Nothobranchius furzeri: one gene and its partners. The protein of the gene in region 7 interacts with the protein of the main gene of each other region in a pairwise test. Links are inferred from orthologs where the notes say so. Each region holds a gene or a part of one and is shown on either strand. Other genes may lie near its edges. The genes, in order: KAT8 regulatory NSL complex subunit 1, snap91a, smc2, waca, smc3, exoc1 and traf3ip1.

What was found.
Region 1: the proteins of traf3ip1 (region 7) and KAT8 regulatory NSL complex subunit 1 interact in a two-hybrid assay, tested with the Homo sapiens proteins (2 studies listed by IntAct). The link is inferred for Nothobranchius furzeri from reciprocal best matches to the Homo sapiens genes TRAF3IP1 and KANSL1.
Region 2: the proteins of traf3ip1 (region 7) and snap91a interact in a two-hybrid assay, tested with the Homo sapiens proteins (2 studies listed by BioGRID and IntAct). The link is inferred for Nothobranchius furzeri from reciprocal best matches to the Homo sapiens genes TRAF3IP1 and SNAP91.
Region 3: the proteins of traf3ip1 (region 7) and smc2 interact in a two-hybrid assay, tested with the Homo sapiens proteins (2 studies listed by BioGRID and IntAct). The link is inferred for Nothobranchius furzeri from reciprocal best matches to the Homo sapiens genes TRAF3IP1 and SMC2.
Region 4: the proteins of traf3ip1 (region 7) and waca interact in a two-hybrid assay, tested with the Homo sapiens proteins (2 studies listed by BioGRID and IntAct). The link is inferred for Nothobranchius furzeri from reciprocal best matches to the Homo sapiens genes TRAF3IP1 and WAC.
Region 5: the proteins of traf3ip1 (region 7) and smc3 interact in a two-hybrid assay, tested with the Homo sapiens proteins (2 studies listed by BioGRID and IntAct). The link is inferred for Nothobranchius furzeri from reciprocal best matches to the Homo sapiens genes TRAF3IP1 and SMC3.
Region 6: the proteins of traf3ip1 (region 7) and exoc1 interact in a two-hybrid assay, tested with the Homo sapiens proteins (2 studies listed by BioGRID and IntAct). The link is inferred for Nothobranchius furzeri from reciprocal best matches to the Homo sapiens genes TRAF3IP1 and EXOC1.

What each region holds. Positions count from the first base shown.
Region 1 is NC_091756.1:53,988,067-53,992,308, reverse strand, and holds the start of KAT8 regulatory NSL complex subunit 1, read left to right. Parts: upstream 1-1,442; 5' UTR 1,443-1,489; intron 1,490-3,281; 5' UTR 3,282-3,353; intron 3,354-4,242. UniProt on the Homo sapiens protein: Non-catalytic component of the NSL histone acetyltransferase complex, a multiprotein complex that mediates histone H4 acetylation at 'Lys-5'- and 'Lys-8' (H4K5ac and H4K8ac) at transcription start sites and promotes transcription initiation.
Region 2 is NC_091745.1:52,417,704-52,421,203, forward strand, and holds part of snap91a (clathrin coat assembly protein AP180), read left to right. Parts: intron 1-285; coding exon 286-363; intron 364-573; coding exon 574-693; intron 694-3,500. UniProt on the Homo sapiens protein: Adaptins are components of the adapter complexes which link clathrin to receptors in coated vesicles. Clathrin-associated protein complexes are believed to interact with the cytoplasmic tails of membrane proteins, leading to their selection and concentration.
Region 3 is NC_091747.1:76,184,972-76,188,471, forward strand, and holds part of smc2 (structural maintenance of chromosomes protein 2), read left to right. Parts: coding exon 1-168; intron 169-267; coding exon 268-411; intron 412-3,500. UniProt on the Homo sapiens protein: Central component of the condensin complex, a complex required for conversion of interphase chromatin into mitotic-like condense chromosomes.
Region 4 is NC_091747.1:30,792,142-30,796,119, reverse strand, and holds the start of waca (WW domain-containing adapter protein with coiled-coil), read left to right. Parts: upstream 1-1,178; 5' UTR 1,179-1,380; coding exon 1,381-1,421; intron 1,422-1,614; coding exon 1,615-1,645; intron 1,646-2,646; coding exon 2,647-2,839; intron 2,840-3,978.
Region 5 is NC_091744.1:4,686,321-4,689,820, reverse strand, and holds part of smc3 (structural maintenance of chromosomes protein 3), read left to right. Parts: intron 1-316; coding exon 317-434; intron 435-1,915; coding exon 1,916-2,091; intron 2,092-2,670; coding exon 2,671-2,751; intron 2,752-3,095; coding exon 3,096-3,260; intron 3,261-3,500. UniProt on the Homo sapiens protein: Central component of cohesin, a complex required for chromosome cohesion during the cell cycle. The cohesin complex may form a large proteinaceous ring within which sister chromatids can be trapped.
Region 6 is NC_091748.1:40,504,423-40,507,922, forward strand, and holds part of exoc1 (exocyst complex component 1), read left to right. Parts: intron 1-88; coding exon 89-316; intron 317-404; coding exon 405-537; intron 538-624; coding exon 625-734; intron 735-1,730; coding exon 1,731-1,880; intron 1,881-3,042; coding exon 3,043-3,151; intron 3,152-3,500.
Region 7 is NC_091754.1:2,492,623-2,496,122, reverse strand, and holds part of traf3ip1 (TRAF3-interacting protein 1), read left to right. Parts: intron 1-181; coding exon 182-257; intron 258-510; coding exon 511-531; intron 532-859; coding exon 860-983; intron 984-2,206; coding exon 2,207-2,293; intron 2,294-2,402; coding exon 2,403-2,532; intron 2,533-2,603; coding exon 2,604-2,637; intron 2,638-2,740; coding exon 2,741-2,817; intron 2,818-3,500.

The DNA of each region.
Region 1 (4,242 bases), on a different chromosome or scaffold from region 7:
GTAAGAAAGGCAACAGGGGAAAGAAAAACTTCCTTTGAACAGGATAAAATGGTCCTAAAATCTGGAAAAGTTTCTTTTGACTAAAATCGGTTTTAGGAGAGCTGCAGTGATGGAGCGAGAAAACACCTCCCTCTATGATGGCTGGTCCTGGTGGATGTAGACGCTGATGAGAAGGAAGGTGATTTTGTCCTATCTTGAGTTTTTGTCATGAGAAACTATGGAGGTCTCATCACTGACTCTAGAGAAGATCGTTTCCTCCAGGTCACAAGAAACTTCTTCAGAAGCATTGCAGTGTTTGTTATCAATTTGTTATTTTTGTTTGATCTTGAACTACGCTAGTGTGAGCAGCTGAGACTGCTGTTTAAAATGGTTTTATGCATGTTTAAATAAAATCATGAAAGAAGTTTATTTATTTCTGTGTTCAGTAACCCAGTTTCCACAAGGATTTTGGCATTTGTACCACTTGTTCCACAGCTCCAGGACTTAGACCAAAACCAGTAGTTTCCACCTTTAGAAAGAAATTGTTACAGGTCTGTTGAAACCAAATCCAGAATAATGAAAGTTCCTTTGGAGATCAGCTACAATATTCCTTCCAATGTCAATGTTTTTTTTACCTCCAGGTATCCTTCACCTGCAGGTGAGATTCATTAAGTTTCAGAACTGTTCCTCCCTCAGTTTTTAGACCTTCAGGTACTGTGTCATAAACCAATAATAATAATATTAATACGGTAATAATCATCATCATTATCATCATCAATGTTTGTTGTTTTGACTTAAGTTCGTGTTCCATTCATTGTAATTTTGTAAACAAGCCAGCAGACTTCATAACTAAGTTAGTTCTGGTCTTCCCCAGAAGTACCACTGCAGGTCTGATGAGTTCCTGTCCATCCTCTGGCTCTTGGTTTAACGTGTGCAGGACAACATTTAGCCAAAACTGTCCTCCAGTGAACAACTGGTGCCATTTGTGTCTCGTGGCCTGCTTTAGGGGGACAGCTCCCAGACCGGCCGAATCTCAGCCCAGCAGGACGATGGGCTAAGATGCGATGAACTGGATGAAACGAAACGTGTTGATTAAACTCGTGAGTTGCGAAAAGCGTGGTCTCTGTTTATCTGATATGAAGCCTTGAGCCCAATTCTGAGCCAAGTCTCTAAAACAGCAACACAACGAAGAGTGTAGTTCTGAGTGAAAACATCAGCTGGGCTGGGAGCAGCTAGCATGTCTGCGATGGAACAACACAGTGACCAGGGCAAATGAAAAGCAGTCGGCCGGTAAAGACACGGGAGTTGTGAGACTCGGGCTGTAATTCTTAAATTAAAACAATTTTAGACAATTAAGTTTCGTGATATGAACTTTCATATACATTTCCGCTGTACGGGCATTTGCTAAGACTGACAGCTGCCGGAACCAATAGAAAGTCTGAAAATAAACCGTCAACCAATCGCAGCGCAGAAGGCGGGGCTTATTGGTGGTTTGTAACAGGACAAGCAGGTAAGTAAGATACTCGTTATTTTTTTAAAAACAACGAACAGTTTGCTTGTCAGGAAAAACTCTCTTCTAGTTAAACGCGCGGTTGTTTTATTTAAGTTTGATTATTTTTTACTGTTGAATTTTATGTTAAACGTATAAATTAAATTGCAGTCATTGAGAATTCTGGTACATCGGGAAGCAAACAAGCTAACGCGTATTAGCATCTGTAACGTTAGCTTTTCATAGTCTTTTTGACTGAGCTTAAATGTATCATCAAAAATCACAGGTAATTCGTTCCGTTACTCTCTACTCTTTAAAGATACATTTCTTGACATATTACCATCATATTTCCACCCTCTGTGTTGGTGTTGGTCAGCATGTAAAACTTTTAGTTTTCATAAATTTGTAACGTTAATGTGGTTAGCTCGCTAGCTTTAGCTCGTCAGCTGAAAATATCGGAATACTCAACAACAGTTTAAAAGTTACCTGTGCTGGAAGCTTCTGATGTAAAGTCACAACTTTAACCATTAGTTGGCCACGTGAATAATTATTCATAAATGAAATGTTTAAAATTAATCACCGTGCATCATTTCGTTCAGTTTAATGAAACATTAAAAAATAAACTAAACCAAAAATTTATTGGACCATAACATTAAATAAATAACCACAATACAAGACATAGAGTAAACTGTACTGTTGCACTAATTTAATTGTAAATTTTTTTAGTTGATGTAAGTTATAAAAAATTGATTTACCACCACTGTCTATGAAAGCAACCAACGCTGGTGTTACACCGTGATCCCACAGGGGGCGCTGTAACGAACACATTCAGACTGGGTCTGAGAGAAACAAGTAAAGCAAACGAACAACAACAGTTTTAGGTTCAGACTGAAACAGGGAGCCGAAAACGACTAAAAACATGTTCAGATTCAGTTTCAACTGCAAAAACAGCTCAGATTCAGATACAAAACTGACACAGTAATCAGAGCTCCACTGGTTGTTGTGGAAGTTATTTCTCTGTCATTTCCTAACACATTTGCTGCATCTGGCGTTCATCATTATTATTTACGTGTTTAAGAACGCGTTTTAATTACAAATTCTACTTTTACAGTAGCAGAATTGATGTGAGTCTTGATTGAGCACTGGAGCAGGTGCTGACATCTAGTGGTCAGGTTGGAAATCGTGGAAATTCGGTCAAAACCAGGATAAAAAATATTAAACTGTGTATGTTCTGCCTTCACCAACTTAGGTATTTATGCAGCTTCTCTATTTTTGATCATGTTGAATCAAAGGCTTTTTTTCCTATTTTAAATTACACATATAATAATAATAATAATGAAATGGTTTAAATGAATGAATCACTGAATGACTGATTTAAAAATGATAGTCCTAAACATGTAGTTTATAACTTTCCTTTTATGTTGGTGAAATAATTCCTCTCTTGAGGAACAAATACAACAAGTCAGTTGTTCCCAACCTGGGGCCAGTGAACTCAGAACTGTTGGTTTAGTTAGGTGTAACACGCCAGACAACATCCTTAACTATTTGCTATAAAACTAATGAAGGTGTCTGCTGTGGTCGGTACAGCCTGGTGGTTTATTTCAGGGCCTTTGAGTTGTGCCAAAGCATTTTTAACTCGGTTTAATTTGTCATCAAGAAGCTTAGTTTGGAATATTTCCTGGAGACAGTAGATTGTGACCGCTGTGAAGGCTTGTCTTTACCTTTATTATTTATTACTATTATTAATTATTATGAAATAAGATGTTTTTGATTATCTGTTTTACTAACTTTTTTATTTATTTATTTTTTTTAGGATTTTTGTGTTGTATCTGGATTCATGGCGTATTGGACTACCAAGTGGAGCATTTCATCAATGGAGCTAAAGGTATTCCTTGAGTGCATTAATGTTTTAGCCCTCTTATTTTTACCTGAGGTCAAGGATCGTCTTCTCCAGTTGCCGTCCCTGAATTCCTGCGGACATTGTGGAGAAGATGTGGCCAAAATAACCTCTCTGGGCCTCCAGAACCCAGTACACCGTTGTCTCATTGATTCAAGCTATTAAACTGATATCCGTTTGGAGAGATTTAAGGCAGCTCAGATGGAAAACTAAACCACAGGAAGTTTGGGGAACACCTTGGGTTCCATCAGGAGTAACACATGGAACACTCTGGAAGCAGACACAAAGCTGGATGGGTGGAGTTAAACGTCATTAAGTCATTTCAGCTGTCTGAATACCTGAGACGTCCTAGCACACATTTGTAGCTTTTTCCCTGTGATGTAACTAGCATCACTTCTACCATCAGACGATAGCGCTTGTTCCTACTCAGACCTTTCCCATGCGATTTATTTTCTCACATTTTAAGAAGACATGTTGACAGGCAACTGAATCATCTCCTTCCTTAGACGAACCTTCAACACAGGAAGTGATGAACTGCCGTTTTTTTAAAAACAAGATAAACACTTGAACAAAAGCTTTAGTTCCATGTATTTATTCCAGGTATCGTGTGAGTAAACAATGTGTTCTAGCTTATATTTTCCATAAATAGTACCAGTCTGAGAGGTTAATTGAGCTGCAGGTTTGATGTTTAATGATTGGTACCATGTGCTGTAGCTCTCCTTCATGTGGTCAGACTGCAGCTGTGGTGGTGGTTGATCTGGATCCTGTTTAGGGTCACATCAGAGACCTGGATCCGTCTTGTCCCGTCTCCTGAGGGAAGGAGACTCAAGTGAAGTGCTTATAATCCTGATTAATCCACTCATTAGAATATCACCAT
Region 2 (3,500 bases), on a different chromosome or scaffold from region 7:
GACGGGTCCCTACCACAGCCATAGCCTTGAGGTACCCAGGGTGAATCTTGTCAACCCCTAGAGCTCTGCCACTGCGTAGATTCTGGACCACCTCAGTGACTTCTGCTCCAGAGAGAGAATATTGTTTTAGTAAATATATGTTTTCGTAAAGTCAAGGCATGAGATCACAATTTTAATTTAACAATGACGCAACAAGGATTTTGTCCACCCTTCATTGTTTAAACTCCTTCTGGATCTAAGCGTTTCACTTGTGACAGAGTTGTTAATGTGGATCCTTGTCTTCAGGCTGCCACTGCTCCAGGAGCTCCAGGATCAGCTCCACCTGCTGCAGCTATGGTACCAGCGCAGCCTGGCTTCGGCATGGTGAGCACATCTGTTTGGTTAAAGAGCATTTATAAACAAAGACAGTAATTACAAACCACTAAAATATCATTCTGACTTAGATCTACCTGTGTTGAATGAAGTTTTAAATCTGAAATTTTTTATTGAATAACTCCTTTAATAAATACAGAGGAGTGGAGGGGGGTTCATACTATTCCGTCCCAATCTAATGAGATTTTCTGATCTTCTCAGTCCCCTGCAGGAGGACCTGGGGCCCCAATGATCCCCCCTATGATGGGGCAGCCTTTGATGAGCCAGTCCATGATAAGACCTCCATTTACAGGCGTGACTGGAGCTGCACCTGGAGCACCGGTAACTCAAAACACATACTGTAACATGCTCACACACTGGTGATTACAGGGGCTTGAACAGAATGGTTGCTGCCACTGCCATCCCAGGTTAACATTTCTCTACATTTTGTTTAAATTTGAAAGTCCATCATCTCCTCTCTGCTCCCTTACTGGTTTTATCTGCTAAGGAAAATGTCACAATGAGCAGGTTTCAAGCCCTTGCAGACCCCACATTGATAGTCTCAACCCACTTCAGACTGTGTGCGTGCATGGGTGTGTGTTCAGTCACGCCACTCAACAATGGAAGGAAAAGAACTGTGTGGCTTAATAACTGAGACATTTTATAGAATCGAACAGATTAGACTATCATTCCCATGGAGGGGAAATTCACTTAGGGTACAGAAGTGCTACAACAGCACATACACTTAGAGAAAAAGGAAGACAAAAGATAATAACAACTTCTGTCTGTTCATTCTGTGTATTTGTCAACTTGCATTGCCATAGTAATTAGCTGAAACGTTAGCGATGCATGATAATTACAAAGTTACACACAAAAGTAGTGAGATAATAACCTTCAACCACAAAAAACTACAAATAAAAAGTAAACTTGGGTTTCCAGAACTATACAACAGAGGTGTGGACTCGAGTCACATGACTTGGACTTTGGTCAGGCTCGAGTCATTATTTTAACGCCTTCTGACTTGACTTGATAAAATCAATAAAGACTTATGACTTGACTCTGACTGGAATGCCAATGACTTGCGACTTGAATCGACTTACATCTGTTGACTTGATGATGACTTGAGCATATTTGATATTTTAACACAAAAGTGGCACGACATGGACAAAATTCATAAATCATTCTTTGTTCTGGGTTTGATCTTGAACTGCTGAATTCAGCAGCACTTTGTTTATAATCAGTTTCAGTTGCACTTTCTGCTTGTTTGAGCAAATAAATGAAGCTTTAAGAAGCTTTATTTCTGGAATGTATTTATTATCATTGTCATTAAACTGAAGTTGGACAGATGACTTGAATATGACTTGACTTGGACTTCCACATTATTAAGTTTGGACTCGGCTTGGACTTGGTTGTCTTTGACTTGGACTTGATTCAAGACTTGACTAGATAGTCTTGTGACTTACTTGTGACTTGCAAAGCAGTGACTTGGTCACACCTCTGTTATTACAGCATAAGGGACATAGGCGTATTAATGTAAAGCCGGTAATGAACACATACTGAATGCTGCATAGATGTTATTGTGTACCAGGATAATGCCAGCACCAGTTAAACTGAGGAGTTATACGCTCTTACTGCAGAGGGGATGAATGACCTACGGCAGCGTGCTGTTTTACATCTGGGATGTCTCAGTCTGCCTCTGAAGGAGCTGTCCGTGGCTTCCACAGTGGAATGCAGTGTAGGTGGGAGGGTTTTCCAAGATGGAAGTCATCTTCCCCAGCACCCTCCTTTTACACATCTCCTTAACTGAAACTAGTTGGCACCCAGAACCAAGCTGGCTTTTTTAACTAGATTGTTCAGTCTCTTTCTGCCTCAGTCGGAGCTGCCTGAGCCCTTACAGGGTTATTCAGAAAGTCTTTCTTTGGTACCAGTACTTACTGAATATTTTTGATGAGAGAGGTATTGACTTTTTGCACCTGTCACCAGATCATAAGGGTCCACCATATTGGATGGCAAATGCATAGTAAACAGCGGGCATGGGTAAGCCCAGTTCAGTTATTGTACACACCTAGGTGGGGCAACAGTGAATTACAGGAGTGTTGAACGGAGGGAAAGGTAGTGCCTAAGGTTTTTATTTTTTTGCCAGTTTAACCTGGTTTCTTCTGGTTCAAGCCCAGTTCCCTTGTGGGAAGAGTTAGCACACCTAGGTTGGTAGAGAGCAGTATTTACAAAAGTTAAATGTTAGCTAGCTTATGAACGTTAGCATACGTTCTCCTTGCTGCCACTCACCTATGTAAACAAGTTGCCAACTTTGCCAGATTTCATCCCGCTGGATTTATAAAATTGTGTCAGCAACAGCATTTTACTTTGCACTGGAGCGGATTAAAAACAAACTAAAAAATCCGGATCCATACCAGATTTTGTCGCTGGTGGGGTCACCAGGTTCAACTACTACTCACACCGGGGTGAGACAACACTCATCATGCTAAATAAATCATTTTAATTTTCACACAAGTAATCCTACATTGAAACAATATTATTATAATAAATAATTATCACTATAATAAAAGTTCAGTAGATGACAGCAATGCACATCCTCCATGGTGAAAAATAGAATTATCAATATATAAACATCACATTTGTCACTTCCGGTCCATCACAGTCAGTCCCTGTCTTCCTCATGAAATATACGAACATTAATTTTACCCATTAAACCATGTTCACTGCAAATCTGAAAATACTTTGACGGCTATTATCCATGCAGTTAATTCCTGTTTTCAGTCTCCATCAAAGTTATTTAGAAAAAGACAAGTTGGGTCTTGTCTGTGAGTGTAGTCAACCGCACAACAGACTAGTACATCTTTACTGTGAAATCAACTAAATAAAAGCAATAAAAAGTAACAAACTGGCTTGTTTTGACTAGCTTGAATGAAGTGTCAACCTGTGTAAACAGTCGTTCTACCGTCCATAATGGCTAAGGGGGTCATGAACAGCTTGACGTCACGTGTGATGAGTCAATATCGTTTCGGTACCCATCCCTACTTCTGACTGAGCCAGGACATTTTGTGTCATTTATTTTACACATCCAGGATTTTTTCCCAAGTTGGGTTAGGTGGGGAAGCGTATGGCTTGCAGAAGACTTGAGCTAATGC
Region 3 (3,500 bases), on a different chromosome or scaffold from region 7:
ACCAAAGAGGTCCAGAAGCGGGCCGAGGAGAAATACAAGGTGCTGGAGAACAAAATGAGAAACGCCGAGGCTGAGAGGGAGAAGGAGCTGAAGGCCGCCCAGCAGAAACTCAACGCAGCCAAGACCAAAGCTGATGCCTTCAGTACCAAGTTAAAGCAGAAACAGCAGGTGTGATGGTGGAATATTTAAAAAGTCTCATCTGAAGGATCTGGTGTCCATCGTGTCTTGATACATGTTGAGTATTCTCTGATCTGTGTTCTTGCTCAGGAGTCTGATGCTGTGGCTCTGGAGCTGGAGGAGCTGCAGCGGGAGCAGGCGGGTTACGAGCAGCAGATCCAGGCTGTAGACGAGGCCACGAAGGCCATCCAAGAGCAGATAGACAGCATGGCCTGCACCGTGTCGCAGAACAAGGTGTGTGTGTGTGTGTGTGTCTGACTCCACAGTGACTGCGAACATATTCAGTTGTTTTTGTTAGTAGATCACTTCAACAATGAAAATATTCTGACTATCATTAGCCAAACATTTCTGTTCAAGCTAACCTGCACCCATTAGCTGCAAGGTTTTATCTGAATGCAAAGCAGGATGTTGAAATAAGTCATCAACTTCCTGATGGCAATCCTATTTAGAAAACGGATAGCTTTTGTAGACATTTTGTCTCACAGATAAATGTGAAAGTTTTTGAATAAGATAAACAAGCAAAAATGAAATTTCTGCATGAGGATTAAAATTAATAATGGTTCAGCATCCTGTTACTCTTTCTAATTTATTACTTGGTGCTGTTACTTATGTTTTTTACTTTATTTTATTTAAAACTTTATGTTCTACTTCCTGCTTTATTTAAAGTTAGGGTTGGATCTTCTTGAAACATCTCCAGATTAGACCTGGGACGATAACAAATTTTGCTTGATGATTTACTGTATTGTCCAAAAGAGAAATTTGACGATTAACAATATTATTGTAGACATTATCAAGACCAAAACAACTTATTTAATGTTAATATATCATAATAATTAGGGCTGTAAGAAAATATTGATATGACAATATGTTGTGATATTTTTTCCAGCGATATTATATCGATATTTAAAGCCGTTTATCAAATTTCTGGAAGAATTGACATGTAAACGTTTGTGTATTTTTTTTCTTTTGGTGCAATTCAAACACCGACCACCAGTGGGCAATGGTGTGCAATGGGATTAGTTTCCACTGTTGAAATACAAATCTGTTATGGTTCAGATACCTCGTGTTAAAGACGTTAAGTATTAGTTTGGACTGTTGATTGAATCTTCTTACAATAAATAAATCAATAATAACGTCTGACTGAATGTATCGCAATATATTGTGATATATTGTATCGTCTCCCCTGTATCGCGATACGTATCATATCGCCATTTCACTCAGTTAGAAAATATTGCACCAAAAACATGAAAATAGACCGTTTTTTTTTTCTCTCAAAACAATACAGGTGCTGGCCAGTAAATTAGAATATCATCAAAAGGTTGAAAATATTTCAGTAATTCCATTCAAAACGTGAAACTTGTACATTATATTCATGCAATGCACACAGACCAATGTATTTCCAATGTTCATTACATTTAAATTTGATATTCATAAGTGACAACTAATGAAAACTCCAACTTTGGTATCTCAAAAAATTAGAATATTCTGAAAAGGCTGAATATAGAAGACACCTGCTGCCACTCTAATCAGCTGATTTACTCAAAACACCTGCAAAGGCCTTTAAAAGGTCCCTCAGTCTTGTTTTGACGGCACCACAATCATGGGGAAGACTTCTGACTTAACAGCTGTCCAAAAGACAATCATTGACACCTTGCACAAGGAGGGCAAGACACAAAAGGTGATTGCTAAAGAAGCTGGCTGTTCGCAGAGCTCTGTGTCCAAGCACATTAACAGACAGGCGAAGGGACGGAAAAAATGTGGTAGAAAAAAGTGTACAAGCTCTAGGGATAACCGCACCCTGCAGAGAATTGTGACGACATACCCATTCAAAAATGTGGGGGAGATCCACAAAGAGTGGACTGCAGCTGGAGTCAGCGCTTCAAGAACCACCACGAGGAGACTCATGAAAGACATGGGATTCAGGTGTCGCATTCCGTGTGTCAAGCCACTCTTGAACAAGAAACAGCGCAAGAAGCGTCTCGCCTGGGCCAAGGACAAAAAGGACTGGACTGATGCTGAGTGGTCCAAAGTTATGTTTTCTGATGAAAGCAAGTTCTGCATTTCCTTTGGAAATCAAGGACCCAGAGTCTGGAGGAAGAGCGGAGAAGCACAGAATCCACGTTGCATGAGGTCCAGTGTAAAGTTTCCACCGTCAGTGATGGTGTGGGGTGCCATGTCATCTGCCGGTGTTGGCCCACTCTGTTTCCTGAGGTCCAGGGTCAATGCAGCCGTCTACCAGGAAGTTTTAGAGCACTTCATGCTTCCTGCTGCTGACCAACTTTATGGGGATGCAGACTTCACCTTTCAACAGGACTTGGCACCTGCACACAGTGCCAAAACCACCAGCACCTGGTTCAAGGACCATGGTATCCCTGTCCTTGATTGGCCAGCAAACTCGCCTGACCTTAACCCCATAGAAAATCTATGGGGTATTGTGAAGCGGAGGATGCAATACGCTAGACCCAACAATGCAGAGGAGCTGAAGACGACTATCAGAGCAACCTGGGCTCTCATAACACCTGAGCAGTGCCACAGACTGATCGAGTCCATGCCACGCCGCATTACTGCAGTTATTGAGGCAAAAGGAGCCCCGACTAAGTATTGAGTGCTATACATGCACATTCTTTTCATGTTCATTCTTTTCAGTTGGCCAACATTAGAGAAACAAACATTTTTTCATTGGCCTTTAGAATATTCTAATTTTCTGAGATACCAGATTTGATGTTTTCATTGGTTGTCACCTATAAATATCAAAATTAAACGTAATAAACATTGGAAATACATTGGTCTGTGTGCATTGCATGAATATAATGTACAAGTTTCACGTTTTGAATGGAATTACTGAAATATTTTCAACCTTTTGATGATATTCTAATTTACTGGCCAGCACCTGTACATACAATGTGTCAGCAACCCAAAACTGCACTTCAATAATAATAATAGTTTTCTTAACCTCGATATATGAGGCTGGAAAAATTGAGTACTTCATTTTCATCTGCCGTATGATTTACTGGTTATCGTCCCAGCCCTATTCCAGATTAAACTGGTCTGTTCTTCACACAGCTCAGGTTGTTTGTGTTCCAAAGCTTTAATCTCTAGAAATGAGTCAGATTAGCCGTTTGTGTCTGCTCTGTCTGAACAGCCAGTTAAAGAGTAAGTCACCCCCTACAAGAAACTTACTTAACTCCCTCTTCATGTTTGAAAAATGCAACAAATGCTGTTGCCTGGCAGACAGAGAGGGCGGAGCCACTAACCAATACACACACAGGCTCACAACGGCATTGTGACATCATAATGTACCAGTTTACATCATAGCATACCTC
Region 4 (3,978 bases), on a different chromosome or scaffold from region 7:
CATGCCCATCACTCTAAATAATTTATTTCCTCCTGGTCTCACTGATGTTATATATCCCCATCAAGGAAATTACCACCTGAAGTGTTGCGCCAATGCCCTATTCAGTGGCACTACTGGTTACTGATGCGGGTGGTGGTCTTTACGTGTGTTTAAAAGAATTGCAGCTTGTGTTTATTTCCGATGATGTTTATTAGTTCGTCTTCTTCCAAAATGTCCATGATCCATTTACTCGCAATTAAAGTGGTTTACAATGAATGCGTTACTTGCCCCAATGGCTGTCCGCAGAGTCCATTACACACAGCCATTGTCCTCACTACACAGTAAAAAAAACTGTTTGTCCCATTTCAGCAACATCTGAGTCTGATCTGAATTGGTTTAAGTAGGCTGGTGCTTCCACAATCAAATCAACCAATCAGCTGAGGCCAAGCCTCCTCTCAGGTATGCAGACATAAAACACATTTGACTCCTACACCACCTTTGAGGACCTCTATAGGAATGGTTCTTTTTGGAGTTTTTCAGAACCCTCTTCCAAAGCAAAACTTTTGCTCTCTCACCTGTTCCGTTATTTTCAGGAACAGGTGCATTTACTTTTGCTGAGGAAGGTGTTTCCTAACCAAAACACATTTTATGTTTTTTTTTTTTTACAAAATCAAACATAGTTATAGTGATAGTTAAAATATAACTATAAATAAATGTAATACATAAAAATGTAAAACCCCAACAGGCTGCACCAAAAACGGCCATAGTTGCCCACCCTACGTTGATTACAGCTATGCTCTGGAGAGTGAGGAACCCACCCAACATGGCAGCCACGCTTTTACGCTCTCCAGCTTCCAATGAGGCGTCTACGTAATGACGTCGCAATAAGGTTGCCAAGTTTGTATTTAATACATGTTTTCCGTAAACAAGCCCCCTTTAAATAACAAGTTATATAAAACTGTATTAATAAGTAATTAATATCCTTTTCCATGGGGCAATAAAATATTTTTGTCTTATATAATTCACGCTCTGGCTTAAAAATGTTTTTTGTTAAATCTGATTTAATTTAGTAGTGTTTAGTAGCATTTGATCTATTTTTACATCTATAAAAATGTCAAAAAGATTCTACACTTAACTAGTACATGTATGAATACAGAATCCTTGCTCAAGTATCTGGCAACCCAGCAAGAGCTACTGCTGCGTTTTGATCGCTAGCTAGTCGGCTGCGTGAGAGTGGGAGATGGACTGAGTGAGGGTGCTCTCTAGACCTGTTCCCGATAGCATTGCTATACCCACAAGCTAGGCTGAAATAACAGACGATTTTTATTGCTACATCAACAACAAAAACAGTGTCATTATCAGTCTTTCACATCCCACTCTAAACACACTAACACGGCATTGATGGTAATGTATGCAAGGAAACAACCGAGACTCGGCGATGGGTAAACATCATTTTAACGTTACTTATTTTCTTTTTCCTCGTAGCTACTGCGCTTTCACAATCCGCCATTTTTACTGAAAGCCAAATTAAGTGACTAGAAACTTGAGCGTTCAGCTGTTGCTCCACTGGAAAACACATTTTCAGTGCCGATATTTGATGTAACACATTCACAACTGTTTACTTTCTGTCTGCAGGTGCGACCGAAGAGATTCTCAGCCCTATCAGGTACTTGTTTGGACACCCAAGGCTGTTAGCATGCTAGCAGCAAAAAAGATTAAAATGGACACTCTAGCTCAGGCTTCTGTGGTGTGCAGGCCTCGGTGCGGAAAATAACACGAAAAGTAGGAGTCTCGCTTAAAATCACAATTTAAACACAGAAAACACACGCAACGCGTCTATTTTGGGGCCCACGTAACGTACGCGTACACAGGGCCGTCGAATAACGCTGCTTTGACACGACAGAAAGACTTTTACTGCGGATCAAAGCTAATGTTAGCTGATAGCCTGATTGCTCGCTATTCCGATTAGGGCGCCGCCGAAAATCAGTCATTTTAAGGATGTAAGCAGCAAAATGCGACTAGTTTATGGCCTGAGGCTGTACACGTAGAATAAACATGACACTGAAGCGAAGACTAATCAGGACGTGTCTCCTGAAGTGTTGCCTGGCCTTTTAAAAGCCTGGTTGTACGTAACTATGTTGGTTTATGAGCGCCTCTCTATGCCAGGTTAGTGAGACTACCTCTAACTCTCATTAATCAAGGTGAGCTCAATAAAATTGCGTTCTGTTGGATCTTTATCAACTTTACTGAAGCTGGCGTCATAAAGGAGATATTAGGGTTGATGTTCACTCAAGAGGCAGGTGTCTTAATGGTAATGAAACAGTCTGATGTTCTTAATGACTGGAGGTTCTGCTCTTGACGCGTGATTTTAGCAGGTAAATGTCCTCATTTACAAACGAGGTGTTTCAGAGGGAGCGCACAGAGAAAAATCAAATGGAAGGAATCTGGTTTCTCATAGTGGAATGAAGCAATGTTTAGTCCTTGTGCTCTTCCTCATTTCCCCCCTCTGCCATGAAATTGTGTATTTGTAATAACACAAGCTAAACGTGACTCAGTTTAAATCCTTTGGTCGTGTACATTTGTAATAACACGCATTATGGAAGTTCCTCTGATGTAAACCAGCTGCGATTACTACAGTTCCCTGACATGTTTGTTTTGTGTTTACAGACTCTTAAGTACTCATCCAAGAGCCATCCAGGAGGGGACCATCGACACGAAAAGACGCAAGACTCCTCTGATGTCACTCCTCCCTGCAAAATGCTCAGGAGGTCTGACAGCCCTGAGAACAAACACGTGGAGAGCACAGGACACAGCAGAGCCAAGGCTGTCCACACACACCGGGTCAGAGACCGGGACGGAGGTAAGGTCCTGGTTAATGCAGATAACTAGATGAGTATCACCAGTACGCCACATAACTAAATGTTCACTAAGTTTACCACATGCTGCCTGGTCAGTCAAGTGTAAAGAGCAAATCATGTTAAATATACACGGCTTTCACCGCGGCTTGAAAGCCTGGAAAGTGTTTGAATTTTTAAAATGATGAATTTTCAAGATTGTGAAACTGGTTGTAGAGAAGCAATCTTTCTTTTCTCAAGACGAGGAGGATTTTTTAAGGGCATGATGGTTTGGCTGTGTTTACTTTAGCAGCATGCTATCCAGGTGTAGTTAGCTTGTCATCTAAAGATGTGTGTGCTGTAGCGTGAGCCACAGTTAGGTCCAGCATCTGGGTGTGTGTGTGTGTGTCTATGTTTACTATAGCTCCATTCTCTTGCATCATTTTTGACCCATGAGCTGACTGGAAGCAGAGGAGACTTGTGTAATGATAAATGCCTGTGTTGGTGGAACCAGTGGATGCTAAGGCTGGGCAATATGGACCAAAACTTATATCTCAATATATTTTTGCTGAATTCCCATATAAATATATCTCAGTAGTTTTCCTCCTGTAAAGTATTTACAAGTTAACTCACTTCAAGCTGTCTTGAGAAATTATAAACATACATCAGTATATTAAATGCATAAAAATGTGTTGATTCTTGTCAAACTTTAACCGTAGTGCCTATTCTCTGGTGCAGCGGTCTGTTAACACACACACACGCGCGTGCACACACACAGTTGAGAGCTAGAGGTGTATCAAATGTCCCAGAGGCACTTTTTAATTATATATTTATAATTGATATAAAATAATTTCAATTTCTTCTAGAGGTGGGCCATATTGTATACTTCTTGCCCAGAGAAAAAACATCTATCATGTTAAACTAAATTTATGATGATGTAATTGCATCTACTGAAGATCACATGGGTCATGCACCATGGAGTTAATAGTTATCAGGGCAAACATGGCTGCAGTCTAACAGTATTGGCTCATATCAGCGATTATACTGCAATGACTCAGAGACTCTGGTTGCTGTTTTATGAGTATTATTTTCAGGCTTCTGTCACCGTAACCCACGCCTTCCTAACTCTTCACTTGTTCAACAGAATCGCTCGTAACAGAGTACT
Region 5 (3,500 bases), on a different chromosome or scaffold from region 7:
CGAACTAGAGGAAAAACAGGCAGATTCCTCCTCTATTTACAAACTCCTGGGGATGCAACAAGTGGGCGCGGTGCGTCGACTTCCGGATCTGACGTCGACAAATTTTTAGAATCGAGCCGTCGACTTCGTCGAGGCTTCGCTACAGCCCTAGTAATTATGTCTTGGTTTGTCACATTAAAATCATACCAGCTGTCCAAAAATAAAATTAACCTTTAAATTGAAAAAATGAGTTGTGTGATATTCTGGCATGAATGTGTTAGGAGTATAACAGGAACAATTTTTCATTTTCATTGCATTATTTCTGTGTTTCTTGCAGATCAACCAAATGGCCACAGCACCTGACTCCCAGCGTCTGAAGCTCCTCAGGGAGGTCGCAGGAACTCGAGTGTATGACGAACGAAAGGAGGAGAGCATTTCTCTAATGAAGGAGACGGGTAAAAATCAACCAAAAGCTTGTTTATTTATTTGATGCATTCACTTTTCTCCACTCTATTAATTGTAAATTTGTAAACATAATAAATAAACACTCAGTGTTGAGCTATTAATGTATTCTGGTGTAAATATAGGATATTAGGAAAGATGGATTAGGGCTGAAACGATTCCTCGAGTACCTCGAATAATTCGATTACAAAAAATCCTCGAGTCAAATTCTCTGCCTCGAGGCTTCGTTTAATTCATGTTTAATTAATTCATGGCTTTGCAATCGCCCGGGGTCATGTTTCACCCGGACCGAAATAAGTGACGCACATACACGCTGCACTGAATGCACACGCGAGTAGCGAACGCAACTTAACTTTCTCTTAAGCCATGGCAGACAACGTGGACCCTGGTGGAGTGCGAAAAAGACACAAAATGTCAAAGGTGTGCGACCATTTTTCACGTCGTAAGGCAGAAAACATAGTCCAGTTTAAATACTGTAAAATGGATTTAGCCTACCACAACACCACATCCTCCATGCTGCAGCACCTGACCAGGAAACATCCACATGTAAATGTCACTTCTGCAAGCGGACTCGGAGTCTCTACAAGATAATGCATTTTAGCCTGTATTTCTATATATTCTGCAGACACTGTGCGACTTTTTCTTTTGTAGCACTCAAGTTTCAGCTCACACCGTGCATCTGGTAGCAACACGTCGGTCTTAAAATGTGCTAAAAATAGCAGTTTTTACAACACGTCTGACTTTTTACTGTGTTGTTACTGATGTCCGTTGTCCCTCGGGATTGCTGCAGGAGGACACAGGTATTTATGAGAGTGGCGGAGGAAAACGAAAGAAAGTAAATAAATGTTGTGTGATCAGCGTAATTTGACAAAACCACGGCAAACATGCTTTCTCGACAATCCTTGTTAGTGTGAGAAAAAAAGTGTAGAAATTAAAACGGACGTGTGTTAATAGGGAAATAGCTGGCGAGCCATGTTCGCGCATGCGCCGTGAGCGGTTCTGGTGCTGTTTGGGCCGCAGCCGCTCGCATTTGTTTACTGTGAAGTTGAAGTGCTGAAGTTTTGAAAACGAATTTTGAATAAAACTTGAAGAATAACTGGCAATTGCTTTCTCATTTCAAGAGGTCTTTCATATTTTATAACATGCTATTTGATATGTAATGGTTTACAAACGCAAAAGGGTAATTTATTAGAGTACTCGATTAATCGATTATAGATTCGATAGAGTACTCGATTACAAAAATATTCGATAGCTGCAGCTCTAAGATGGATACTGTTGTCTTGTGATTGCAAGATAACATGTCTGTTGTTATTTTTTAATATTCTAGTTATAGTTCCACATAACAGAAGTGCACGGCAGTGAACATTTATTATTGTTGTTGTTGTTGTTATAAAATTCCTAAGGTTAGCTAGCATGCCATTAGTACATTTAAAAAAACATTTCCAAAGACGTCCCTAATTTGTGTATTCCACAGAGGGGAAACGAGAAAAGATCAACGAGCTGTTGAAGTACATCGAGGAACGTCTACACACCCTGGAGGACGAGAAGGAAGAGCTGGCTCAGTATCAGAAGTGGGACAAGATGAGAAGAGCTCTGGAGTACACCATCTACAACCAGGAGCTGAACGAAACTCGAGCAAAACTGGACGAGGTAATGTGGTTTAGAGCGGGGGTCACCCACCTGGTGCCCCTAGGTACTAGATGAGGTGCCCACAGGCCTTTTCTCCAAATGGCTTCTGCTGCCATCATTTATAATCACAAATGCATTAATAGAAATTTAAAAGTCTATTTATTAAACATGATGTTTAGCTTAACGCTGATCTGTTCTAGTTCAAATGTCACTATTGCATCAGCCTGGTTGCCCTTCCAACGGCTCGATAATTGTGAAGTAGCTCTCAGCTTCACCTAGGTTGGTGACCCCTGTTTTAGAGGGTTGTAAAGATGATAAATGAGCAAAAACAACATTTCCATTGTAGAAGATATTCATATCATCTACTGAACTTTAATGTTATAGTTAAGTTTTAGTAGCTAAACGTTGAAGAGGAAGAACTGATTTCTGTAATCGCTCCTCTCCATATTCCTGAGACGCTTCACAAGAACAAAGAAAAGACAAATTATTTAAAAAAAATAACAAAGAATCAAGGTAGTGATGGAACTGTTTACAGAACTTACTGATTTAGCTTTTATTGATTCTATTCTAAGACTTGTGTTTTGTTTGGGTTTTCTCCAGTTGTCCAGCAAGAGAGAGACATGTGGAGACAAATCCAGACAGCTGCGAGACGCTCAGCAAGACGCTCGAGACAAAGTGGAGGTAAAAGAGAAAAATCTCACACTGTTATTAATATTAGGATGCATAAGTGGAGTTTTGAGCTGATGGAGGAAAGATAAGGAAAATAACTGCAGCAGTCGTCCTTTAAACATGTTTTTGTTTACTCAGTAAAACTATTGATTATTTAGTTGGTTCTCAGTTTGAATTATTTTAGCATTAATAAAAAATAAAACTACAATAATTTACATACTTTGTTACATGTAGCTGTTAGTATTTGGTTATGTGGAAAGTAAATATGTCTCCCACAATTCTTTGTAGGCGTTTTCTTTTCTGCTTGTTTTGTGAAGAAACCTGTCCCTTTTAAACTTTTGGTTGCCGTGTTTTAGGAGACGGAGCGCGTTGTGCGTGAGCTGAAGTCCAAAATCTCCGCTATGAAGGAGGAGAGAGAGCAGCTATCAGCAGAGCGCCAAGAGCAGATCAAGCAGAGGACCAAGCTGGAGTTGAAGGCCAAGGACCTGCAGGATGAGCTGGCAGGCAACAGCGAACAGAGGGTACGGAAGCCTCGGATCTGCGTCACGCTCCACACGTGATGATGCACCAACACCGCTCCCCTCTCCTCCATCCTCTTCACTATTACTGAGTCTGCAGTCTTTACTCTTTCCAAGCACATTTTCACCCCAGCAGCTGCTTATCATAGATTAGCTTTCAGTTTGTTGAGAGGCTAATAAAAGGTTTAGAATGAGCACCGTAACTTATAGTGGTGAAATTAATGTAGTTTACCGCCTTCTAAA
Region 6 (3,500 bases), on a different chromosome or scaffold from region 7:
CGGTTGGATTTAAAATGATGACTTTAGTCGTCAATAGCAGTTAATGAGTTAACCAAAAAGGCATCTCTGGATCTGTGTCTTCCTAAAGGCCAACATCCAGTCCATCATGGCATCAGAGAAGCAGGTCAATATCCTGATGCAGCTGCTGGATGAAGCTCTGACAGAGGTGGACACCATTGAGGGAAAGCTGAGCAGCTACGAGGAGATGCTCCAGAGCGTCAAGGATCAGATGGATCAGATCTCCCAGAGCAACCGTCTCATCCAGATCAGCAACACCAACAATAACAAACTGCTGGATGAGATCCAGTTCTTAGTGGTGAGGCGCTATAACACACAGTTGTGTGTGTGTGACACTGAGTCACAGTGTGTTGTTAGATGACTCTGGTTCCTCTCTCCTCCTGTAGAACTACATGGATTTGTCAAAGGGGCACATCAGGGCTCTGCAGGAAGGAGACCTCACCTCCCCTAAAGGGATAGAGGCCTGCATCAATGCTTCTGAAGCTCTGCTGCAGTGCATGAGCGTGGCTCTGCGGCCAGGTATTGAGTAACTTCTGCAGAAATAAATTGACTTTGTAGTTTTTTTTTAGTGTTCAATCAAATGAAAGTGTACGTTACTTCCTTCAGGTCATGAAAAGCTGATGGCTGTGAGGCAGCAGCAGCTTCTGTTTGCTGAGCTGAGAGACACGTTTGCTCGCCGCCTCACCAATCACCTTAACAATGTGTTTGTTCACCAGGTGAGTGCTCAGTCTTGTCCTTTACAACCGTGTTCCTACTCAGGCTGGACAATTTCTTTCATGTGGATTTTCTGTACCTTAACTTAAAAGCAACAACATGTTAAATGCTGCTGTAGCATGACTGGCTGTGGCTGGTCACATGACCTTATGTCATTTTTATCAGCTTTGTTACACAGAAACAACAAAGCTACACAAAATATCAGATATCTGGTTTGACGTGGCTTTTTTTCTGTTTATATACATCAGAGAATAAGCACTATGAAGCTACGGGGACAGAAATCAGACTCAGCTTTTGATCAGCTTGAACAATGAAGACCTATGGTCTCCTGGCTCTTTTTTCTCCTTGTGAGCTTCCTTTTTAGCTGACGCTCTCTTCCTGGGCTTCCTGTGTTATTTTCCTAGCAGCTGTGTCCCTCCCGCTCACGACTTTCCTTGTTGCTCACTTTGAATCATCCCACTCTGCTCTCTGTCTCTGTGTCAGTTCAACCACTTCAGTCATTTCAAAATGACCATCCCTCAGTATTATAGGTCCTCCTGTCTGTCACTTCCAGTGAGTACCCTCACAGCAACCCCCCACCTGGCCTCTTCTCGCTGTTTGATCTCTCACTGCTCACTCAATGAGGCTTCTTCCTCCAGCGTTTTCTAATGCATGAGGTAGATTTCTAACTTCTTAACATCCCTTGTCTGATGAGGAGCTGATGAGGCTGTGTCCATCCTTCGTCTCCTTCACCAGCTGACTCAGCTGAGGGCTTTTCATGTTTGCGTTCTCACATGGCTCACATCACAGAAGGCTGTGCATGTCTTGTACTAAATGAAGTCAAGAACACACGTGCTAGTCCTGTGAGGGAGTAAGGGGAAGCATCAAATCCTCAGAGGTATAAAATCTGTGAGTTTGTGATAAACAGCAAGCTGGAGTGTGTGCATTTCTGGATGAAAATGGATTTTACACTCCTATAACGTGTTGTTCTTCTGACCCTAACGCTTGTTTTTCTGAAGGGTCATGATCAGAGCTCCACCTTACCTCAGCATGCAGCTGAACTCACCCTGCCCAAACACAGCCCCCTCCACAGGGACCTGCTGCGCTACGCCAAGCTCATGGAGTGGCTGAAGAACACCCACAGGGAGAAGTACGAAGGCCTGTCCAGGGTCAGTCTGGTAGTTTTTAAAAATATTTATTTTAAGAAGGAAAATCTGTGGCAAATGTATATGACGTCTGCCAAAAACATCTTACTGCTTTCCTAGTGGTTAAATATGCAAATGTTTGAAAATAGAGATGATATACCAGTGAGCCAAAGCATCAGGCCAGTGTTTACCATTTTTATATCTTACATTAGTCCATATACCTCTTTAGGAGAGCTGATTTTATAACGGACGTGCACAGGCAGCCCGGTGCTGCTGCTAAATGTTATTAAAGGTTCCATATCGTGCTATTTTAAACCTCTGAGAGCAAAGGTAGGCTCAGTTCATGATAAAAGATTACTGTTGGCACTACTGAGGTGTCACTTATTTTAAATACGAGTTATTTCCATCAGTGTGAATTTAAACCAGCAAATAAAACATGTTTCAGTGAAACTCCGCCCACGCCTACTCTGACCAAAGGGCCTACAGACGAGTCTCTTGCCGCGTTGGCTACGGTAGTTCAGAGGTCTGCCTGGCAGCTCGTGTGCTGACGTGGGTTTGAATCCCGGCGGTGTCGGCAGTAATTTATTAAGCAGTTTTTATATTTTAGTTTTATTGATTATTCCGTGAAAAACGAGAGGTATTTTTCATTAAGAAACAAAAATATCACATTCTAAAAAGTTCCAAGAAGTGGATTTTCCATGATATGGCCCTTTAAATGAAAACATCTGCCTACAAATGCTTCGTAACATTATTTTTTACAGACATTTTTTATTTACTCACTTTAAATGTAACATGTGCTCAGTTTATTGATGTAAATACTAAACAGTGCAAACAAACTAAGATTCAGCAGTTGATTAAATGTGGGTTTCGAGCACTGATGGTGGTGACGTTTTAGCATCCAGATAAGGTGGGGATCTGAAGCTGTTATCTTGTGGTGCTGGGACGCCGGTTCAATAATAAAAGCTTCTTGAATCTCGAAACATCTCGATATTTACCATAAAAGTTGGCCTAAAAACGTCACCCGACAGCTGACTATGACCTCTGTAGTTCGACATCGGTATTGACATCATAGAAACTCAAATCGGCTGATCTCTGTTGAATAATGGCAGCTACTTTGTGCTGTCCAGCTGGTATTGTGTGTGTGTTTACGTCGTACATGTGAACAAATATCCTTTCTCCTTTTCAGACCTACGTCGACTACATGAGCAGACTGTATGAGCGAGAAATCAAAGACTTCTTTGAGGTTGCTAAGATAAAGATGGCGGGTACCTCCAAAGAAGCAAAGGGAAAGTTTGGTAAGAGTCCTGCTGTGAAGCACACCTCTGTGATGGAGGTAATGTCGGCGTCTGACTGATAGTTTTCTGCAGGATCATTTCTTTTTGTCTCTAATTTATGTATAGAATATTTATGATGAAAGGGTTAAACAGAGCTTGTCATGTACAGCCTTCCCACAACATATTTAAACAAAATCATAAATGCCTCCCAAGTGTTGAAGCTGTATTTGATGTTTTATCTTTCAATAATGCTCCTCTTCCCTTTGCACCAGACGTTTTATGTCAGATCTATTTATTATCTGAATAGCAGCCTTGGTTAAGCTTTAGTCTTGGCAGAGTCATAGGAGCCTATATTAGCTTTTGTCTCAGA
Region 7 (3,500 bases):
TTTCCTGTTTTTAGACACCTCATGGTTCCACCTTTCATCCTTTTTTGGGTGGTTTTGTATGTTGTTAGTTTTCTGCTGCTGTCCTAGCTGGAGGCCGTGCGTCGTGATGAAATACGACACACGCTGCCTAAAGCAGGACAGGCTATGATCAAAAATAATTCTGTCGGTTCTTGTTTTTCAGTTTGAAAATCCAACCAGAATACCTCGGCCATCGTCTGCCAAAGGGCAGAGGAGGAGGCCCAAGATCGGAGGTCAAGGTAATTCCTAACACCTTCCCACACTTGAAACGTTGTTTTAAAGATGCCTTCCTGGAAACTGAACACGGTTAAGTCTGTGTTTTCCTTCTACTGTTGGAGTCATGGACTTCTTCCTTTAATGGCGTCCCCGTGTGTCGGCACAAGCTTCGTGAATCTGATCAGAATAAACTGTTAATGAATCTTCTCTTCATGCTTCAGATTTGAGATGCTGCGTTACTTTGTGACAACGTTCTCTCTTTATTTCTCTCTACAGACGACTCCGACAGCGAAGGAGGTAAACGTCTTCCGTCACTTTTGGACACCAGAACATTTATAGCTTGCAGCTGTCGGCTAGATCTCCCTAAAGAAGCCTTAATTTAAAAGGATTTGTTCTGTTTGTGACACCAAAACGTGGCTGAGTGATGACATCACAGTGGCTGAGTGATGACATCACAGTGGCTGAGTGATGACATCACAGTGGCTGAGTGATGACATCACAGTGGCTGAGTGATGACATCACAGTGGCTGAGTGATGACATCACAGTGGCTGAGTGATGACATCACAGGACTGTTTGAGGTTAACACCAGTAAAAGAAAAGTGCTAAGAAGTTTGTGATCCACAGATGGAGACGTTCATGTAGCCCAGAAAGACGTTCCTCAGGAGAACGGTGGTTCCTCGGCTCAGCTGGATGCGGTCTCCAGGTGTGTGGGGTCAGCACCTGTTACTGTACCTGTCTGGAGACCAAGGTTGTTTCTGATGTCATTAGAAATAATTATGTTGTAGTCATGACTTTGCACTCTGTTGCCCTTTATTGTTATTATAGAAAACTGACTTTCCCTGATCCTGCTGCTTTTTACAGTTTGGATAAAAAACTAAAAACGTCTTCTTCTGACTGGTCGGTAATGATCGGACCGCTTAGGCTGCTGGTCGTCCTGCGCAGCATTATTCTCCTATTTGTGTTATGTTGGGTCCACTTTTGATCAAAACTGATAAATTACCAGCATTTCCCACTATTAGATTAATAAAAATAAATAAATCTTCATCAAAACAGAGCAACTCTGCTTTTATGTTGATAGCAGGTTAGCTAATTAGCATTTTGAGGGATCGTGAAAAGTGAAACTCCAGCACACACAGCACATTTTACAGGTTACACACAATTATTTCAATGAACAGACAATTTCATATTCTTTCATTAGTATCCCCGATGTGAAACTCTACAGTTATTAGATTTCTCCTCTGAAGTTCGGACGGTTTACGACGCAGTGCATTATGGGAAACTGCTGTCCCGAGTCCGCAGAAGGATGCATTGATGCATTCTCTATACAGGGGAGGGTGCACAAACATACCTGGGAACTCTGCGCGCCCTCGCCATGATGCGTTAGGATTGGAGCCGTCCTTGAGCTGTCACTGATGATGCGAGTACACAAGTACAGACAAGTATGCAGAACAAGTACAGACAAGTATGCATAACGAGAAACGGCCATGGACTCACGGCTAGTTTAAGCTAACCGTTAGCATTAGCAACTCCACCACATAACAAAACTCCTCCAGGCTTGTGTTATTTGTGGAGATAAAACATCAACTCTCAGAGCAGTCGGTGGTAGAGTCGTGTTGCTGTTAGCCAATCAGAGGAGAGATGTCCAAATATCAGGAAATAAGACTCCAAAGGCCGCTGTCTGAAGCTCAGCTGTGATGTTGGTCACTCGTAGGTCCTAGAAGTGGTCCGCCGGTATATTTTCCCCCAGAGAACGGCTTACAAGGCATTCATTCCTACTAGAGACCACTGCAGATGTATAGATTAAACAAGTGAACCACTCCTTTAAAGCCGTGCAGTGTGGCTGTTAAAAACCCACGCATCTGGTAAACCTGACCCCTAACAGTGTTCTAGATAAACTGGGGAGGTAATGGGTAGTAAAACGTATTTAGCAGCTGTTAGATGGCGTTCATGTGTTCTCCCTCGGTTCTCCAGACAAGCAGCACGTCCGAGCAGCGCACGCCCCGCACCTCGTCGGGTCAAGAGACAGGAGAGCCACACAGACGTGACCCCGACCGAGAGGTGACATCATCATTCGTTTAGTAAAAGTCCGGCCTGAGTGAGAGTGATTATAAACCGGTTGGTGCAGCGAGTCTGCCAAGTTTCACCGAGAACTTTCTTCTTTTTTAAGGTTATCAAGTGCCAAGACCCCGGCCCCCGTCATCATGGACGGGAAGGCACTGTCGGAGGATGAGGAAGATGAAGACGAACAGTTCCTGGTGGAGGAAGCAGTCCCCCTACCCTCAGATGTTCCTGTAACAGTAAGTGACGCCGATGGGATCAGGGATGATGGGATAAAAATAGTTTTGATCTTGTTTCATCTCCACTGCAGGAACCTGCGCGGGAACTGGACCGTGAGAACCACGGTGAACACAAACACGTCTTCTTACTTTCTCCTTCTTTGTCTATCCTGGTGAACGGTTCCTGGCTGCTCGTAGGAAAACATCTTTACTGTGTTTCCTGTCGCAGGTGGACTCGTGAAGAAGATCCTCGAGACCCAGAAAAACTATGAACCATCAGAGTCTTCCTCTAAACCAGCAGAAAAGGTAAGGGATGAGTGGTTTAGTCCACTAGAGGGCAGCGCTGGCTAACACCAGGCTTGGTGCCGGTGACCCAAGGCCAGGTGTGGAAGTTTGATCCCAGGGAGCACTTTACCCCAGCCCCGCTGCCACGCTGGCTTTTATCACAAGAAAGATGTAAACAGACGGAGTGGAGACGTGTAATTACAGCCTCCAAACCACAAGAATGTCCCTTTTCACCGGAGCTGAGGGCCGAATAACCAGACAAGCATGCATGGCCCCTAATGGACCACACGCAATTAATACGTACATCTAGATGTCTGGGGCAGAACACGCTCGCTTTTCACCGCTTGCTCAACACATTTGAGGCGTTTTTAAGTTTCTGCACAATTAGGAAAACATGGGAACATGTTTCTGGATCTTTGATTTATTTATTTAACCTTCTCTACTCTAATGCAGCTTTTTATTTACATCTGATCAGCTTTTGTTTTTATGTAACAACAGATCAGATCTTATTGATGAAGACGGTGTATGGGTTCCTCTCTTGAAGCCAGAGAGAGAACTCTCATCAGTATTTGGACGTGAAACCGTTCCCAGTTTGGTCTGAACTCTTTGGTGTGAGGTGGCATGTGCCGTCTGCTTTGGGTGGTCCCGCCGCTGAAGCGTGATCTCCCCATCATCCCATCCTCGCTGACCACCCTGACTGTGAT